Arabidopsis thaliana: one gene and its partner. The protein of the gene in region 1 purifies or fractionates together with the protein of each later gene. This does not show direct contact. Each region holds a gene or a part of one and is shown on either strand. Other genes may lie near its edges.

Region 1 (9,496 bases):
GGAAACCCATGTTTGATCCTGATCTGTGAGAGAATTATCTGCGACGATAAGTATTACACGTGATTTAGGGTACAATAACCTCAACGCGATCGAACAATACGGGAGAGGAGAAAGTGTCTGAGATCTCACAGATTTGGAAATGAAAGCTCCTCTTTGGAGGAGGACGATGATGTTCTTCGTGCGAATCCGGTGAATCTGAATTTTGGATCCGTGTGAGTTTTTGAGATTTTCGTGAGGGCATAATAGGCAAAAACCGAACTTTTCTTCAAATATGAAAGTCCAAACACCCTAATTCAGATTTGTCTTAATAATCACGTTTTAAAGTTCAAAACAAGCTTTCTATATTTCATATCTATTGAATATACATACACTATGCGATGATTTTATAATAAAATTGTAAAATGTTCAAATTATCCTTCTAATCAATGATAAACGAGAAATACTTCACATTTGCAAACATTTTTTTTGCTAAAACATCTTACGACAAACAGAGGGAACAGTGTTTTTGTTCTTCTTCGGATTTTCTATTTCTTTAATCATAGTAATGTTACAAATAACATAACATTTGAGTCATAGTAATGTTAAAAAAGACACTAATGAAACAGCTTGACATGTTCATGTTTTTTACTCACTAAGGTAATAAAATTCTAAACAAGGGAGGAAGATGAATAGAAGAAAGGCCGGTTTTCTCTTTGCTCTTATCTCATTCAGCTCTTTTGCCCTCCAATACTTGCTCCATCCGAGAAGAGCTTCTCTATACCTAACGGCGCGAGAATCTGTACTCGGGTTCTACATCCATTGCCCACGCAAACTTCTCCAAAAGAGACTTGGTGAATATCTATAACAAGAAACAATTTTCTGAGTTGGTAAGAAAAAACTTGTTTCTTTTCTTCAGAAGGGACCCATCCTGAGAGTTTTACCTTTTCGATTGGTACTTCATGACGTTTGCACCATGCAACTGTGATTCTAGGATCCAGGTAGTTGATCTTAGACGTGCCCAGTGCCACTGTTTTCAAGTCCTCTTTTGTATGCATGTCTCGTTCCATTTTCTCGATCTTAGCACTCTGTTGAGCAATCTTCTTCTCCCACCTGCATTCAAAGGACGTAGATCTTCAAAACGAGATAGATATCTAGAGAAGTCTTTTGAGAAGTAAGAGGGAAAGTTATTTTACGCGTTTGGTTCTAAGCTTCTAATCTTCTTTCCATCAGAACCTTCCAATGGTGGTTTTCCCTTTTTAGCCCGGTCAAGATTAGTTTTGAGCTCTTTAAGAACCTCCTACAGATTTAGAAAAAACAAACAAACGGAAGGGCATTTTAAATGAATCCAGATGAAAAGCAGAGAACTTCAAAAAAGTTTTCAAGAGTTTATACAGGATTTGTACCTTGAGTTCTTCTATTCTCGCAGTCAATTTTTCAATTTGCGCACCATGTGTCTTTGATACAGTACGCTGATGATTGCAGATTATGGCAACCTGAAAGAGTGTGAACCAGTATTTCATGAATCTGCCACATGGTTATGTACCAAACAAGAAATCACCAGGAGGATGAACAAATCTTTTACCTCCTTATTTGCTTTCTGATAAACTACTATTTTTTGAGTAACATCGCCATCTTTGGTTTCTTGACTCAGCTGTTACACACATCAAAACGGAACAAAGTTGTGAAAAAATGTAAAGAAATATATATACTTGTAATTGGGTTTCTATGACTAAATTGTATAGCAGCATAAATCTAATGTGAAACCAGAAGATCTAAGATTTTGAACATACCATTTCATCCAAAGTGATGGAAGCATTATATGTACGGAATACTTTAGCTGTGAGACCAGGCACAAGTTCCTTCAAATGAGCATTCAGTTTACTTGTGTCTAACTCATCAAAAAGATCATCTGTTTTGGATTTTCCTGGATGGGGAAAAAAAAAAGCAAGTTATTTGAATCAGTCACAACAGTAAAATAATTTGTGATATACAATGTCAAGTCCATATCTCACCCGCCTGGAACTGTCCAATGGCCTTGTAAACAAGAGGCTCAACCTCGACTGTGTTCACATACTGGATTGAATCCTTACCAAGAAAATCAAACTAGAAAGAGGGAAATGTGTGAGATTATAAGTCTTCTGCCCAGGATTAAACACATGTTATCCACTTTGACAAGTGTAAAACTTTAAGGATGAAATTAATACCTTTATTTTATTTGGAGGAATACACTCCACATTTCCAACTTTTAAAGTACAACAACCAACAGTGTCGGCCTCATCATCATCCTACCAAATCAAAAAAAAATGAAAATATGAGATTTCTTCAGAAATTTTGTTGTTTGCGAGCCATTTATCTGTTAGAAATCATTTGCTTTTACATTAAACTTGCAATATACTAGTTCAAAAACTACCTTCTCATTTCCAGCCCTAAGCGCCAATTTATCAATGAGATATGTCGCCACAGCAATTTGCCTCATTTTAACATCCTTGGCAGTAAAATTCTTGGTGTATGTTGTTCTTATATTATCTATATGATCCTGCAGTCAAAACAAATCGATTGCTAAAAACGAGAAACAATGAAAGAGTAAGCATGATTCATAAAAATGAAAGCTGCTTACCGTAAGATTCCTAGCTTTCTCGTACTTCTCTTTGTCGCTCAGCCCTTTCAGAGAACTGCCAGCTCCCAAAAATACATACTTGAATTCTTTTGGGTTAATAGGATCAGCCCAGAAAGCTAGCCAGGTGACTGTGTTATCATGCTTTACTTCTTTCCATCTGAAAAGTCACACAGCTCCCATGGCTTAGTAAAGATCATTATATGATGCTTTTAAATTTAAGAGGAAAATCACGGAAAAACAAGACCTTTCACCAGCAATTGGACATTCTGGAATAGGAGCACCTTTCCCGATATTTAAGGTGATCTCGCATGGATGGATACGCTTCTTTAGTTTTCCCATCTGAAAGACGGACAGTAGATGGTTTTAAAAGAGATTACAGAATAGACCATGCCTCAACTGAATCCACCCAAACCCGCAACGTCAAGGTATGTTGTTTACAAAAATTAGTCTCTGGGAGACATGACTAACCTTGGGATGTTCTCCACGGCCTCTGAAAAGGCCAGGCGGTTCCACTCTGAAATTACCAATCTGAAAGATAAACAGAAGTTGAGTGAGGAACTCCCTTTTGGGGAAAATGACAACGTTATGGGAAGATTTACCTTCTCTTTGACACCATCAACAACAGCCCACATATATTTCTCCTCTTGCTTCATTTTCTCCTCTTTCAAAGCTTTTTTCTCCTGTACCACATCAATTAAACTATGATATAAGTCTCACCTTGAAAAATTTTAACAAAAAGAAAAATAGGTCTGGGACACCAATATAGTCAGCCATTACACTTAAAATTCTCTTTTTTAATTACCTCTGTGCTCATTTGTTTCTTCTTCTCTTTCTCTTCCAAATGCCACTCATATATGGGAGTAAAGTCACAATCATCCAACTTCTGTATCACATGTTTCTTGCCAAGCAGTCTTCGCCAGTCATTCCAGAAATTCTCCCGAAATTGAGGTTTAGTATAATAATCTGTCTCTCTCATCACTGCAAACATAGTCGCAACCTGTATATCATCAACATAGCATCAGCATGGATAATAATGCTTTCTTGGAATGTCATACGAAAGCACTCTAGATATTGAGATGGACGAAAAATCAATTAAGAAACGGGTATATAACATTTATCAGTAAGATTGAGGACGTGGATGGAGAGGACAACCTCTTCTTGTTCAATAGTTAGGTCAACAGGTTTCCCCTTGTACAAAATCTTAATGCCATGAGGCTTGTATGGCGGTGGAAATATTACACCGTTGTGCACCAAAGTAGTCCATTTCTTTTGCCCATCTCCAGAGGAAGGTGATGATTTTGAAGACGTGGAATATTTTGAGTCCTTCGTTACTTTCTTAGTGTTTTTGGTCATTGCTCTGGACCTAGGAGAAACGACATTTCTCGCTTTTGGCTTTGCAGCTGATGAAGTAGAATTTAGTTTTACTGCTTTTGGCTTTGCAGATGATGTGTTACTGTTGGAGGAATCTGATTTGAATCTCTTGGATATCGGAACATCATCATCATCATCATCATCAGTTCCATCTTCTCTGGTAGATAACTGTTTAGCTTTCATTTTTGGTGAAACCAAAACCCTTCCCTTATCATCTATCTCTTTCTTGACAGAATCTTGTTTCATTTTCACTGAAGTAGGTGAAGCTGATATTTTGGCCTTCTTCAAGGAAGATTGATCTGCAGAACTATTCTTCTCCAGAGGTCTCTTACCTAATACCTTACCATTCGGCACTTCATTCTTAACTGTGGAACCATTCTGATGCAACTTTTGAACCAAAGGTTTCTTTTCATCATTGGAGAGCTGGTTGCCCCCTGACATCCCACTATCAATCTTCTTCCGAAACATTGACGAGATTGGAGTTTCATCATCTGACTCGTCTTTTATAATTCTGCTTGCTCTATCAAGAGGTCGATCACCATTATTCTTTTTCTCTGGCTGCGGTGAAGAAACCTGCCGCGAAGAGGTTGGCCCTTTATTTCCAGATAGTATGGAACTTAAAGGTCTATCATCCTCAGAATCCTCATGCTCAATTTTACATTCAGACTGATCTTTCTGTAACTGGCTCCTATCCTTAACAGTAGAGGGCATATCATTCCGCAATGGTGACTTTGCTGGTGAAGCCTTAGAAGAAGATGATGGCATAGAGGATTTCACTATAGAAGTTTTATTCGAAGGAGTGGTTCCATTTGGGCTAGTCACAGGTGATCTCATAGGTGATACCTTGGTGGTAGGAACTGCCTTGCTTCTCTGGGAATTGGATTTAGATTGATTCGAATTAGAAGCCACTGTATTATTCCTCTTGAACGCTAAAGGCTTGTCATCATCACTGTCTCCAGACCCATTATCCATCACAGGTTTTGAAACTGTTTCAGTGCCCATTCCCGAAAGAACAACGTTGATGAAGGCTCAGACCAACTTCTGACCAAGACACAAAACAAACCACAAAGAAATGTCAGAGTTTCCCAAGGAAAGGCAAACAAACACCATTACAAGTTTACAACTACAAGCAACAAAATGATTACACTACAGAGAATGAAGTACTGAGATTCATAAATAGAGAATCTTAAAGCAAAGAACCAACATTTGAAGAATCCAGTGTAGTTGAAATATCAAATCCCCAATTACGTATGTGAAACCCTAATTTGTGCTATAACTGGGTAATGATGCAAATTAAGCTTAATACAATCAAATTTCAGAGATTTGACGTTGGATTGAAGAAGCTACCTTCTTCCAGAGATTGAAGAAATTGTCTAGCGAAGCCTATCTCTCTCCTCCGTCTCTCTGTTCTCTCTTCTCTTCTGCTTCGATGGTTTCTATCGTTTTAAGGACGAGGAGACTAAGGCATAAGGAGACTCTCTTTAGATTAGAGAGTTCACCCCTTGAGGGTTTTGTTTTCGTTACGACGTCGTATTGAGTCGCGCCAAATCGTTTAATCTTACCGCCATAGACAATTTTTTTCACTCTTATTACCGTAAACTTTTTAATTGCCAAAATCCCCTTAATTTTTGGGTTTAAGATGAAAAAATTGATTAAACATTGACTCATCGGTTAATTTACTAAATTGTGAAGCATATTTAAGTAAATAAAATAGGGGATAAAATCAGAAATAAAAAGAAATCCAATTTTTTATCCGATAAAATTATGTATCATCAAATAATTTAACGTTTGGATGCTCTTAAGATTTTTTATCAGAAAAATTTACGTGTCGATAGATAATTTAGCATTTGGATATCCACATTCTTATGGGATAAAATTACGTATCAACGGATAATTTAGCATTTAGATACTATTTAGATATACGAAACAATGTGTCATCAAAACTTTTAACCATTTGAAAGTTAATTTGTAAATTATTAAAGTTATTTCAAGTACTAAAAAAGGTTAAAATGAATTTTGTCACAAAAAAAACTTAAAAATTTTCATTACTTAATGCATAAACTTATTAATCATCCATAGTATATAGATTAAAGAAAGGTACTACCATTTTATGTATAATTCTTAATATTATTAACCTGAATTATTTATTTATTGGAGTAAAAAATTGTAACTGTTTTTCTATAAAACATCCATAGATTAGTCTTTGGTTTACTAATAAGAGAGAAGAAACCTCTTTTACAGGGTCTTGCTATCATTCTTCTTCTCTTTTTAACTCTTTCTCTCTATATCTCTGTAAATGTATGGTGAATGGTAGTTAGGTGAAACTGGCCTCAACGAACATGTATTTATTCATCGGTACTTGAACAGAATCTGAACTCAGGATCAACATCCATTGCCCAAGCGAACTTAGCCAGAAGAGACTTGTTAAATATCTGCAATAGCAAAACACAAGTAAATTTCAAGTGTTTGCAATTCTGTTACTTTGTTGAAGCTCTTTACATATTACCTTCTCAATGGGGACATCATGTCGTTTGCACCACGCAACAGTGATCCTAGGATCCATGTAGTTGATCTTAGATGTGCCCAATGCGACAGTTTTCATATCTTCTTTTGTTTGCATATCTCTTTCCATCTTCTCGATCTTACCTTGCGTTTGCATTATCTTCTTCTCCAATCTGTTTTTCCAAAGAGGGAGTTGTTTTAAAGGAGATGCTTATGCGATAAATAATGTATATGAAGAGAGGTTTAGATATTACGCTTCAGGTGTTAAGTTCCTCTTTCTCTTTCCATCAGATCCCATTAACGGTGTTCTTCCTTTCTTAGCCCTGTCGAGATCAATATTCAGCTCTTTTATTTGCTCCTGCAGAGAAGTACAAAGATTATGGGAGTGAGAAAGTTGAAATTGTATCTTGATCATATTTAACTAGGATTTGCTTATGTTATACCCTTAGTTCTTCTATTTTCACAGCCAGCTTCTCCACTTGTGCTCCGTGAGATTTCGAGACAGTACGTTGATGGTTACAAATGATAGCAACCTAACAAAAAAGAATAAGATGATCATATTCTCTTATCTGTAAAATAGCAGAGAGAATAATTGTCATTACCTCCTTGTTCGCTTGCTGATAAACCACCACTTTTTCAGGAACGTCACCGTCTCTGGTTTCTTTACTCAACTGTCATAACATCATCCAAAACGGCTTAAGAAACCTATATCATTAGGATTGTGACAACTGAGTAATAGAAAACATACCATTAAATCCAATGTGATGGATGCATTATACGTACGGAATACTTTGGCTGTGAGACCAGCCATAAGCTCCTTAAGATGAGTATTGAGTTTTGAAGTATCTAGCTCATCAAAGAGATCATCGGTTTTCGATTTTCCTGGATAGAAGACGAAACCAAAAGTCATTTATCCAGTTTCCAAAGGTCAATTATAAGATTAGATAGCCTACATAATTATTAACTAACCTGCTTGGAACTGCCCAATTGCCTTATACACCAGAGGCTCAACCTCAACTGTGTTTACATACTGAATAGAGTCTTTACCAAGGAAGTCAAACTGAAAATGCCAAAGCGAATACCATAAGTCACTATAATATGCAATAAAAAATAACCTTCTTCAACAAATCAATAAGCCAGGCATTTTAGTACTCTCGCAGATACATTCTGCAGTCAATTTTGTTTAGGTTGAGATCAAGTGTATACCTTTAACTTATTTGGAGGAATACACTCCACGTTTCCTACTTTCAATGTACAACAACCAACAGTATCTGCCTCATCGTCATCCTATACAATAAAAATAAGAAAGGAAAATGTGAGAGAATTGCTTGAAATTCCAGAAACATGTTCTATTATGAGTAAGAAGCGGGTCTTATGGAGTAATGATCTCTTATAAGCCAAAACCAATGAGAAAATGAATAGAACGAAGGATCTCTTTAATTAAAGAAGAATCTTTGTTAACTTACCTTCTCATTTCCAGCCCTAAGGGCTAGCTTATCGATGAGATATGTTGCCACTGCTATTTGCCGCTTTGTTACATCCTTGTTATTAAAATCTTTGGTGTATGCTGCTCTAATACTCCCTATATGGTTCTGCAAACAGATGGTATGTTGCTAGGTAAGAAATGGGAAAGCAGGATGGTTTCCAGAAAAGCTTTAAACGGCATCAAAAGCTCATTACATGTAGCTTCCTCGCTTTCTCATACTTCTCTTTGTCGCTTTGTCCCTTCAACGAACTGCTAGCTGCCAAGAATACATACTTGAACTCTTTTGGATTGATAGGATCACTCCAAAAAGCAAGCCAGGTAACAGTATTGTCATGCTTAACTTCTTTCCATCTGAAAAAGAACAGCACTCTTAGAATCAGGTCATAGGAAAAAACAAAACATGTGTCTTTTTCAAAGGGAAGCATATAAAAACAAGACCTTTCACCAGGGATAGGGCATTCTGGAATAGGCGCCTCTTTACCAATGTTGATTGTAATATCACAAGGACGAATCCGCTTTTTCAGTTTCCCCATCTTGAACATAATGACGCAGAAGAGAAAATTACTAAAATGAGAAATAACTATGGAAGATGGGGGAACAAAGAAGAAAAATGTTGTAAATATGATACTACAGCATACACAGAATAATATAGTTTAAGGATAATGTAAGAAACTGCAGCAAAAATAAACCTTGGGATGTTCTCCCCGGCCTCGAAACAACCCAGGGGGCTCAACTCTGAAATTTCCAATCTGGAATTGTTGCAAAATATGGTTAGCAAATTTTAAGAAGCTGGAAATAGATTTCTATCAACAACAAAAAAAGAAATTACCCTCTCCCTGACACCATCAAGAACAGCCCACATATATTTCTCCTCCTGCTTTAATTTCTCCTCTTTCACAATCCTTTTCTCCTGTACATCGTTAGCATTATAACATTATCAGCAACAGCTTCATGAGAAGAGCGTACTCATGGACTTTATCTTATAGAAACTGTTATTTACTTCTGCAGTCATTTGTTTCTTTGTCTCCTTCTCCTGCATATACCATTCATATATGGGAGTGAAGTCACAATCATCTAAACTTTTAATCATATGGTTCTTTCCAAGTAGTTTCCGCCAATCATTCCAGAAATTCTCTCTGAACTTTGGTTTTTTATAATATTCTGTTTCCCTCATCACCGCAAACATAGTTGCAACCTGCAGATAGAAATGACGATATTATCAGCTCACCACTCATGACTAGAGAAAGGATGCAAAAACACTCTGGGAAATGAGATGAAAGTAACGGCTGCAGAAAGTAAGCGAATATACAATCATGGGACAGAGACGCAGAAAAAATGACGGACCTCTTCTTGTTCAGGAGTTAAGTCAACAGGCTTTCCCTGGAACAATATCTTAACCCCATGACGCTTATATGGAGGTGGAAAAATAACACCATTGTGCTGTAGAGTTTTCCATTTCTTTTGCCCATCTCCAGAAGGTAATGATTTAGAAGATTTCGAATATTTAGAATCTTTCACCCATTTGTTGGGCTTTTGAGCTA
Region 2 (9,621 bases), on another chromosome or scaffold:
CAAATCTAAGAAATCTCCAACTAGGAAGACTTCACCCCTTACCTGTATCTGATCATATCAGGAAAAATAAGTACATCACCATTGGATGTCTCTGTTCCATCATGCCCCTCACATATTGTGAGTCGAGTCTACGAAACAATGGCCAAAAAAAAAAAAAAAAACATGAGGCACAAAGCAAAAGACAATCATGAAGGCATCATCATGAGACTATCCGAAAAGAAGCAATCCATTACAGACACCATTTCCACTTAAGTTCACCACTGTCATAGCTCAAAAAACGGAGGTGCAAGTCCTAAGATCCCATCTTGAAGCCAATAGACAAGTTATTATGTTGTTAGCCATAGAATCGTGCCAAAAATAGAAACTTTGCCTTATTTGACCCATACAGAAATCCCAAGAGTCACCAGGCAAGAGTTTTTATGACTCATTACGACCTTAAACAGATACTTTAAGTAAGCCAAAACAAGTGAACGCAAATGCTTTTTGCTTATTTGGGAGACTTATTGGAAACAATCAGACCTAGATTTATGAGAATCAAGCAATATACTTGGAAACAGGAGATGCAAGTTAACAGCGAACAAGCTGAATCAATGGAATCAGAAAATAGTAGAGTAAAAAGCTGACCTCCTTCTTCATGCTACCCTTTCTGGCCGATACAGCAGCAGAGAGTAGCCTAGGCAATCGATCGAACTCAGCAGCCTCGATCCTTGCGGGCCAAACAGATGGCTTTTTGTAGCACAAGAAGACATGCCTCTCGTAAAACTGTACGGTTCCAGCTAGTTGTTCCGATCGGAAATCAGGACGAGCGAATCCAAAATCAGCGTCGTTGATGCTTTCTCCACCGCCTCCACCGAGTAAGCTCTCGCTTTGAAAACTACCGGAGCGAGAAGTGGGTTCGCCGAGAAAGTTGTCGAGATAGTCAGATACAGTGACTGGAGACGACGCCGTAGATGGATTGCTGGTGAAGGATAAAGGGTCGTCTCTATCTCTTCCACTTCCCATTTAAAAATTCGACCACAAGTTTGAAACTTTACAGATCGAAACTGAAACTACGGAGACGAAGAAGAAGTGAAAGTTTCTCAGTGATTCTTCTACTGAGAGAGGTCTGTCAAGTATATTCCGTTACTCTTATTCCGGTTTACTCCTTAATCGATATTCTATTTTGCAATCGGACCGGTACTTTTGCCTTTGTGTGTGTGACAGGTCTTTTCGAATCTAGTACATCAAATAAGATAATAGTAGCTGCAGCCAGAATGATAAAAGCCTGGACAAGTGTTGCTTATGCTTATAGTTAACCATGTTTAGCCATCTGCTTTGAATTCTATGTATTTGCAGTGTCTCCATTGCAATCTATTTAGGTACTCTGAATGTAACAACAGCAATTACATTCTTTTGGAACTTGTGTTTGGGTTGTCCGAAAAGGGGATGTAGAAGAAGAGCACAGATTCTTTTCTGTATATTTTGGTCCTGTAAGAATACAGACTCTCTTCTTCATCAATGTTAATCTTTGTTGTATATGTTTATGAGGTACCAATTCCTACATTTCTTAGACTGGATTTGCGTTGGTAGATTTGCAGATATGTTAGAGATAGATCAAGGATACAAGATGAGCATAAATTCCTTCTGCAATATTCAAAGTCTTAAAGGGAATCAAGAGAAACATATTATTCATTTATTACCATTGGCCTCCTTCAAACCAAAAGACATAAACAAAAGAAACCTTGACAATGTCTCGAAAAGGGAGCCTCACAAATCAAAGACAATCCAAGGAGGCTTTTATGTTAAATGCTATAGACATACAAGCAACCTATCCTTTGGCTATGCAGCTTCTTCCTCTTGTCTCTACCAAAAGTAAAGCTGCTTTACGCAGTTCAGACTCCAACAACAAAATATTACATCCACAGATTTAACTTACACATTTGCCAGATGACTACTAGGCATTAGGCAACAGTATCTGACAGAGAGACTCAATATGTGCGATGTGATCAGAAAGGAGTTTAGGCTTTCACCTCCTCACCACCACCAGACCCTCCTGCTTCCTCCTTCTCTGAATCCTCTTCTTTCTTTTCCTCCTCCTCCTCCTCATCTGCTAATTTGGTGAGCTCCTCTTGGATTATCATCTTTATAGATGACTTTCTTGGAGTGAGATCTTCTGTGAACTCCTTAGCTGAAAGATGGATGAAACAATGTGTTTATTTTATATATAACCAGGAATCACTGGAAAAACAAATGACTGAAACCAATCTGTTCATACCAAGTTCTTTAAGGATGTCCGTGAACGTAGCCTGCAGAAGAACAACAATGCTCTTATTAGGTTATCTAGGTATAGAAGGAAATTCACAGTTTGAATAGATATTGCACAACAAACTTCAAATCAGCTTTCAGAAAACGAAGGTTATTTCATGTAACCAATAAGTTTGTTCGGCAGAATCCAATTTTGTTTTATTCCACACACATCCCAAGTAGTTAAGTGTATCGCATATAAAAGGTTGAGAAATTACTCACCGTACTAAAGTCCACTCTTTTCAAGATCTCAACGATTGCATTTTTCAGCACTTTATCACTCGGCTTGTCTTTCCCTTTTCCAGCCCTTTTTACTTTTAGCATATAGACACAAACAGAGATAAACATGGTGTCAGAAAACATTAGTGGTTGTATATTGGTTCGCTTCTGAAAATGAAGATATAAGGAATAAGATTCTCCAATGCATCTGACATACACTACACCCAACATGTTTTTATTCTACCTAAGCGACCATCTTACTGGAAGAAAAAAACAGGATAATGACCAAACCTGGCTTCTCTTTTGATGCAGACTTTGAAGGAGCCGGGGAGGCCTTGATAGGGTTTTCAGACTTCTTCCTCTTAGAGGACGCCTTTGGACTTGTATCACTGTCATCATCAGTCTTCTTTCGTTTGGCTGATGACCGCTTCTGTGTAATCTTCTCTGGTGGACTGGATTTTGCAGCGACCACTGCTTTCTTGTTTCTGGCTCTCCCTGCTGATTCTTTCTTCCCAGCTGACAATCTAGAACCACGTTTCTTCTTTGTAGTTTCTTCTTCAGAATGCTCCTCAGATTCATCTTTCTCCTCGCTTTCAGAAGGCTGAGGCGCCTCATCCTCAGATTTATCAGGAATGCCATTTTCATTCTCCTCCTCTTTTTTCTCTTCTTTCTCTTCTGCCTTCTCCTCCTCTTGTTTTTCTTCTTCTTCTTTCTCTTCTTCAGATTCATCATCAGAATGAGCTAAACTCTTTTTGACAACTTTTGTTGCTTCTTCAGACTTTTTTTGGCTCTGCAAAGGAAGTGCAGAATAATATAATCAGATTAAAATACTTAGCCAGAAACATTGACGGGTTGACCAGTGATGGACAGTTGCAAATAAGCTACATTGAGATTACACGTTCTTTTCAGAGTTAATAACAAGATTAATGAACAAGCAAGCCCTCAGCTCTAAGCTATGCATTACCTTTGCTGATCGTTTGGAGGATGAACTCCCAGCTGTAGGTGAAGTTTTCTTGGGAGTTCTCTTGCGTTTTGCTCCCTTACTTGACTGTTTCAACAGAATGTTTTTAAAGAATGTAAGATGCACAATAGTTATTAAAGCAAACAAAACTTTCCCAACACCACATTACCTTCTCTTTCTCAGAAACTGTAGTGTCACCGGTCACATCACCTGTCACATGAGGTTTCTCCAAAAACTCAAACAGTTTTGTAATAATATCTTCCTGTGTTGAAAAAGCATGCAACAAGAAGTTGCCAGATTCGATTAAATGGGGAAATGAATAAGCATAAACTTGGACAACCAGAAATGGCTAATCAAGCTGCTCAACAAAGACAGAAATTTAAACCTTCACATGTATCTATTCACAGAGGAAAAAAATGAATCTCAAGAACAAAAACTTAGAAATTGATAACCATAATGACCTTCTTTGTTGTAGCCTTGGTAATGTGTATGTCCAACACATCACAAAACTCCCACAGTTTCTCTTTGGTGCATTTCTCAAGCTTTTCTTTTACTTTTTCTTTTGCTTTCTTCTGCAAATACCAAAGAGCCACAATTATATACAAAGCAAAGGCATATGTAAAAGCATTCATTATGTGTAATGTTGCACACCTCATCTCCATGCCAAACGAAACCAGAGAAGCCCAATATGTTTGTCTTGATCTGAGCAGCCTGTTAAAGCAAGAAGAATAAGATACATACAAACATGATTAGCAGACTTGCTACAGCACATGAGTCCATACCACTGGTCTCAAACTACAAGAGTATGCCCATGATTGACAATTTTAGAAGTATGACTATTGGAGCAGCATAATGTCAAAAGGATCCAAAGAGACGCTCACCTTCCCTCTCCTCCCACCAAATAGAATTGGGTGAAGCAGCTTCAAAGTTTCATCAGACCTCTTCCTCATTACCTTGTTAGCAACTACAGAGAAGAAACATTCAAGTTATCTACTTCATTTCAACTTCAAACAAAAATAAAAAGATGAAAAAATGGAACAATAAAGGTATTTTTTAGGTAGGTCGCGATTATTAGATTTTGGTTTACAAGAAATCTTGCTTCTGAGCCGGCTGGAATTGATCAATGCCAAGAAAAAAAATTCAAATGAAGATTCACATAACCAGAACCGAAAAGTGTATAGATCAAAGAATCCACCCATAGTATACATGCAATTTAACAACTAGTAGTATCCAGCACATAGAATTCTCGTAACAAAAGAACGTTTAGGCTACGCACACTTGAAGATAATAAGGGGCTCAAACTGTAAACTTGGAAAGCTAACACAAAAGACTTTTCAGCACAAGGATAATTCGAGATAGATGCTTGAAGGACAGATAGATAGAATATGAACATACCATTGGGAATATCTTTGAGATATGCACCTCGCCCCTGTAATATCCAAAGGATTATTATAAACATATCTAGCAATAAAGTTCTACTCAGCTCAGGAAAGTTTTGGCAAACCTTTTCAACACGGAATTCTTTCGAGGAGTCTTTATCAATCAATGCAACAAGCCTCTCAACAGATTTCCGCTCACGCACAGGGCGATCAGAGAAAGGAGTCCTAGGCTCTGCATCCTTTTTTACTTCCTCGGTTTTATTCTTCTCGCGAACCTTTCCTCCAGAACTCGTCCCTTTCCCACGCTTTTTAGAACCCTTGCTCTCTTCTTTTTCATCTTCTTTATCATCATTTGTCTCCTCTTTCTCATCTTCCTTTGCATCTTTGCTCTCCACTTTTTCATTGTCGTTCTCATCCTCACTCCCTTCTTTTTCATCTTCTACCTTTGACTCATCCACCTCAGCCTTTGCCGCCTCAACTTCCTTTGTTTTATTTTCTTCCTTATCTTCCTTTTCTTTTCCTTCAACATTCTCCACTTGTTTATTTTCATCCCCATTCTCCACTTTTTCATCCATATCTGTCCCTTTGTCTTCATCTACCAGTGTCCCTTCCTCTTTGATGTCTCCTGTATTGCCATCTTTTGTTCCATTTGCTTTGTCAGCTTCATGTTGTATGTCCTCCTTCCCAGCTTTTTTGTGGTCTGCCTCAGTAATATCTGTCTCTTTGGTCTCTTTTTCATCATCTTTGGCATAGTTATTGTCTTTAGATTCCACGTTTTCCTTCATTACAGTATCTTCCACTGAAACACCATCATCAGTTTGCTCTTTCTTTCCATCGGCATCTTCATCCATGTTGGTAGCCTCTGCTTGTCCCTCATCTTTGGTGACCTCAACCTTCTCTTCCATTTTTTGAGTCTCAGCATTGTCTTCATTTTTCTTAACCTCTGACTCTTTATCTTCCGTCTCAGCTTTTTCATCATCTTTCTTAATCTGAGCATCTATCTCCATATTGTCTGGCTCAGCCATATCCTCATCTTTCGCCAGTTCTTGTGTTTCCTTACCCCCAGCATTCTCCTTTCCAGCCATAGCCTCTGATGGCTTTTCAAGAGAAGTAGTCTTGTTTGCGGTTGGCTCAATGGTTGCCTTTGTATCTTCCCCCATATTACAAACCAGTTCAGTAGATCCTTCCACCAAAAACACTTCTTGTGGCTGTGAATGAGAAATCAGTTCAGAGGATTAATATTGCTACGATAGCAGAAATTAATGCTCTCTATAAAGAAATTGAACAACTTGACATAAAGAACATGTAAAACGCATTGAATTCACACTTAGCATATATGCGAAAAAAAACTAATTCCAGGAAAACAACATCTAAAACTTGGCTAGTCAACAATAAGACAAATCTAATTTAGATCTCATTATTGATCCATAATTATCACTTAATCCCACTTTAGATCTGCAGAAGAAGAACTAAATGGAAATTTCGCGTAAGTCACTAAGAAACCAAAATCTCGAAGGTTCATCATTTATCCTCGCTTCTTATACATTCAGTAGAACAAAGATCCAGATGGACAAATGAAACCAAAAAACACCCTTTCATTCAGACAAATCTCCAGAGCTTACACCACACAGATTCAGACAAAACACAAACCCATCTTGAATCTCTCGAAATCAAGTCAATCAACGTCAAATTCATGCATTTTGTCAACAACTTAATAGCATCAGATATCAAAAAGACAATAAATAATCAAAACATCGAAATTCACAAATAAAAGAAGCGCATGAGAAACCCTAACTTCTCATCGCAACTTTAAACAAACACAAAGAAGAACCAAAAGAACATGCGAATTCAAACAAAGCTCAAAACATAAAAGCTCACAAAGATTTAAGCAGAGTATCCACAGGGTTCTAAAGCAGAAGACTTCGGAATCTCACCTCAGAGTATCACAAGACTCGGCACTGAGTTTTTTTTCTCCTCTAACTACTTTTTTTCTTACAAAACAGAACAAATAGCTTTTGTTTTTCTTTTTGATAGCGTTTTTTAGGAGAGAGAAATTCAAGGATTCGGACGCAAAGCCAGATTTTAAATACAATTTAATGCCACGTCAGGCTTAGGATGAATCATTACCGTCCGATTTCATTGCTGTAATAGAGTTCATCAACGGTTCAGATTTTATGTTTGATGCATCTCGTGGATCGATGACGCTATAAACTACCCTAACGTCCGGTTCCGAACCAGGTACCGAGCCTAGACTTTATATTTCAAGGATTTTATATTAGGTTTTTGGACAAAAAAAGTTAACATATTCAATGTTTGTGACCTATAGAAAAATATATTTTTTTAACTACAAATTTAATTTGGTAATTTTTCAATGATATGATAGTTTTGTAAATAAATTATCTATAAAATTACTATATAACAGATAAAAATAAAATTGATACGTAATAATTGCTATATCGGTTTAATATTAATGAAATTGTTTTACTTCTTTATGATAAGGAAGCTAAGTTTATGTGATTGAACAAATGATTAAAACAAACTCTTTCTTAAAATGTACTTCTTTTTAAAGAAATTTAACGAATTCGTTGAATGTTCAATTATAATTGATTTAAACAACGCTATATTAGGTAAAATGATCTAATTGAATAGAATTGTATAAGTGACTTTAACAAATTTTGTTATTTTATATTTAAATATTTTTTATGATGGATTCGATCCGCTACCATAAATAGCGTTGTCAATTTTTGCAAAAAAATTAACATGATAATCCGATTTTTACCTTTCCGCAAAAGATGAAAATGATTCACTGGTCCGGTGAAAAAAACAAGACTATTTTGACGACGATGATTATAAATGACTTATAATGTCATTAGTTTGATAGCGACAAAATTTTTATTTGCTTAACGGGTACTATGATCTAAAAGAATCTAATATGTTTGTCTTTAACAACAGTAAATGCTTCGGAAAAAAAAAAGTTCTAAATATGAAATTAGAGATTGTAACTTCCACCAAATAATCTAGATACATGTAAGAGAGAATAAGGTTACTGTTTTAATTGCCAATCTACTTCTTGCACAAATCTCTTAATTTTGTATAGAGACTGTATAGTATAACCTTCCAAATAATTGAACAAAGTTTAATATTGTCCCATGGTAAATCACCTAGTCGAAGTATTTATATCTCATTATTATGAGTTTTTGACAAATCTAGAAGTCTAGAACTAAAAGTTGAGAAACTATTATTGAAAAACGGGCAACAGTTGTAATTGTCTGCTTAAGGACCACGTAGCTTAAGTACCGTCGTGGTGTTTCTTTCATGGAGCATATCTAATTACGGTGAAGAAGAAATAGTTTGTAGTAATATTGCTGTTTCTTGTTTAAATAAAAGCATTAACATCTTGTTGTGTATTTTTACATAACATTTTTGGAACTCAATACAGGTGACACAAACAAATATATATGGTGGAGATAGTTTGAATCAAGATCAGCTCTCTGTGAAGAAATAGGAATTATATAGAACAAGGCCTCGTCCCATTCCTAACCTAAGAAGATCCCGTACATAATGTTGCTTACTTTTTGTTTTACGGACCCGATTGTACTCTCCCCATGTTGGGCGGATATGGGTAAGATGAATTGTTCAAGGACGAGATGTCACCATTTTGAGTCTCGTTCTTTGTTTCTCTCTGGCCGTACTGATTCATACCGCTATTTAAGCTAGCATAGTAGGATGACATGGGACTAGCATGAACAAACCTGAAATTGACTCCATTTGGGTGAGTTTGGTTGACAAGTTGTTGATTCTGGTGCTGATGTTCGTTGGAAGCGTGGTTAGGTCCATCAGATGAGATTCCAACACCAAGATTGAGGCTGATGGTGTCTGTTTCATCTGGTCTGAACCGAGGCTGGATTTCGTGATTGCTGCTAGACTTTGAAGTGGGAACATCATGATCGTGTTTGCCTTCGTATGTTGTTATTACAGCTTTTGGATCATGTGATGCTCTCTCCACGTGTTTTCTCACTGGGCATCCATGAGCTGTGCATTTGTAGTAGCTCCTACAAAAGGCCGAGGAACATCATGAAACATAATATCTCCATTGCGCACATGTTGAGTCTGTTAAGATCACTATCTTCCATATTCCAAACCAAATTCCTAAAAGAAGCAACACTTTATGCACATGTCAAATAACTAGGTCCTGAAGACAAGGACTAAACTGTTCTAGCTACCATTTTGAACTCGCAAGTTATGTTTATGTATGTTCATTCGAGAAAAAAGCAAGGAATTTTTTGGGGTGTTAAAAGCTTTAATGCTGTACAAACCTGGGATTTGGGTTCCCCCTTACGACTTTCTGCCCATATTTGCGCCATCTATAACCATCATCCAGAATGTCAACCTCACTCAGAGTTTGAACAACAACCCGAGGCTCCCGGATGGGTTTCACTAGTGGAGTTATTTCCATCGCACCCTCCATCCTCCTACATAAAGTTAAAATAAAGTTTTAATCATGTCAAATCACAGATTCAAATCAAGCACCTGAATCCTTTGTTAAACTCTAATACCTCCGTTTTGAGAATGGATCATCATCGTCCGGCTCATCTTTATTCCTATTTGACGCTGCCGCTTCTCCACCATCGTCAGATGCTGAGATAGGAGGTACTTCAGGGTTACCAGTTTGTTCATTGGGGTTAGACAAGTTGTAGACGCCAGATCCCTTCTCTGTATGCAGACATAAGAGTAGAAGGAAAAAGTTATAGATATTGCCAAGGGAGTAAGTGCATATTT

What was found. The genes of interacting proteins can lie anywhere in the genome.
Region 2: the proteins of TOP1ALPHA (region 1) and AT4G26630 purify together in Arabidopsis thaliana (affinity purification with western blotting; one study listed by BioGRID). This does not show direct contact.

What each region holds. Positions count from the first base shown.
Region 1 is NC_003076.8:22,424,077-22,433,572, forward strand, and holds TOP1ALPHA (DNA topoisomerase I alpha), read right to left. Parts: upstream 5,427-9,496; 5' UTR 5,315-5,426; intron 5,009-5,314; 5' UTR 4,970-5,008; coding exon 3,749-4,969; intron 3,594-3,748; coding exon 3,399-3,593; intron 3,277-3,398; coding exon 3,196-3,276; intron 3,125-3,195; coding exon 3,065-3,124; intron 2,936-3,064; coding exon 2,841-2,935; intron 2,754-2,840; coding exon 2,597-2,753; intron 2,516-2,596; coding exon 2,390-2,515; intron 2,265-2,389; coding exon 2,184-2,264; intron 2,083-2,183; coding exon 1,992-2,082; intron 1,904-1,991; coding exon 1,770-1,903; intron 1,631-1,769; coding exon 1,562-1,630; intron 1,473-1,561; coding exon 1,383-1,472; intron 1,277-1,382; coding exon 1,173-1,276; intron 1,090-1,172; coding exon 921-1,089; intron 839-920; coding exon 783-838; coding exon of another isoform or gene 761-782; exon of another isoform or gene 698-760; coding exon 625-697; 3' UTR 501-624; downstream 1-500. Other genes in the region: AT5G55290 (ATPase, V0 complex, subunit E), read right to left, coding at 1-10; TOP1BETA (DNA topoisomerase 1 beta), read right to left, coding at 6,313-6,399, 6,474-6,642, 6,724-6,827, 6,913-7,002, 7,072-7,140, 7,218-7,351, 7,439-7,529, 7,676-7,756 and 7 more. UniProt on the Arabidopsis thaliana protein: Releases the supercoiling and torsional tension of DNA introduced during the DNA replication and transcription by transiently cleaving and rejoining one strand of the DNA duplex.
Region 2 is NC_003075.7:13,428,876-13,438,496, forward strand, and holds AT4G26630 (DEK domain-containing chromatin associated protein), read right to left. Parts: upstream 6,896-9,621; 5' UTR 6,777-6,895; exon of another isoform or gene 6,721-6,776; intron 6,051-6,720; 5' UTR 6,003-6,050; coding exon 4,968-6,002; intron 4,893-4,967; coding exon 4,859-4,892; intron 4,428-4,858; coding exon 4,345-4,427; intron 4,175-4,344; coding exon 4,115-4,174; intron 4,036-4,114; coding exon 3,925-4,035; intron 3,726-3,924; coding exon 3,633-3,725; intron 3,551-3,632; coding exon 3,467-3,550; intron 3,293-3,466; coding exon 2,794-3,292; intron 2,598-2,793; coding exon 2,506-2,597; intron 2,286-2,505; coding exon 2,255-2,285; intron 2,168-2,254; coding exon 1,998-2,167; 3' UTR 1,530-1,997; downstream 1-1,529. Other genes in the region: AT4G26620 (Sucrase/ferredoxin-like family protein), read right to left, coding at 43-128, 625-1,002; WRKY20 (WRKY family transcription factor family protein), read right to left, coding at 8,423-8,894, 9,159-9,314, 9,399-9,555. UniProt on the Arabidopsis thaliana protein: Chromatin-associated protein which contributes to the modulation of chromatin structure (such as super-helical structure of DNA) and function.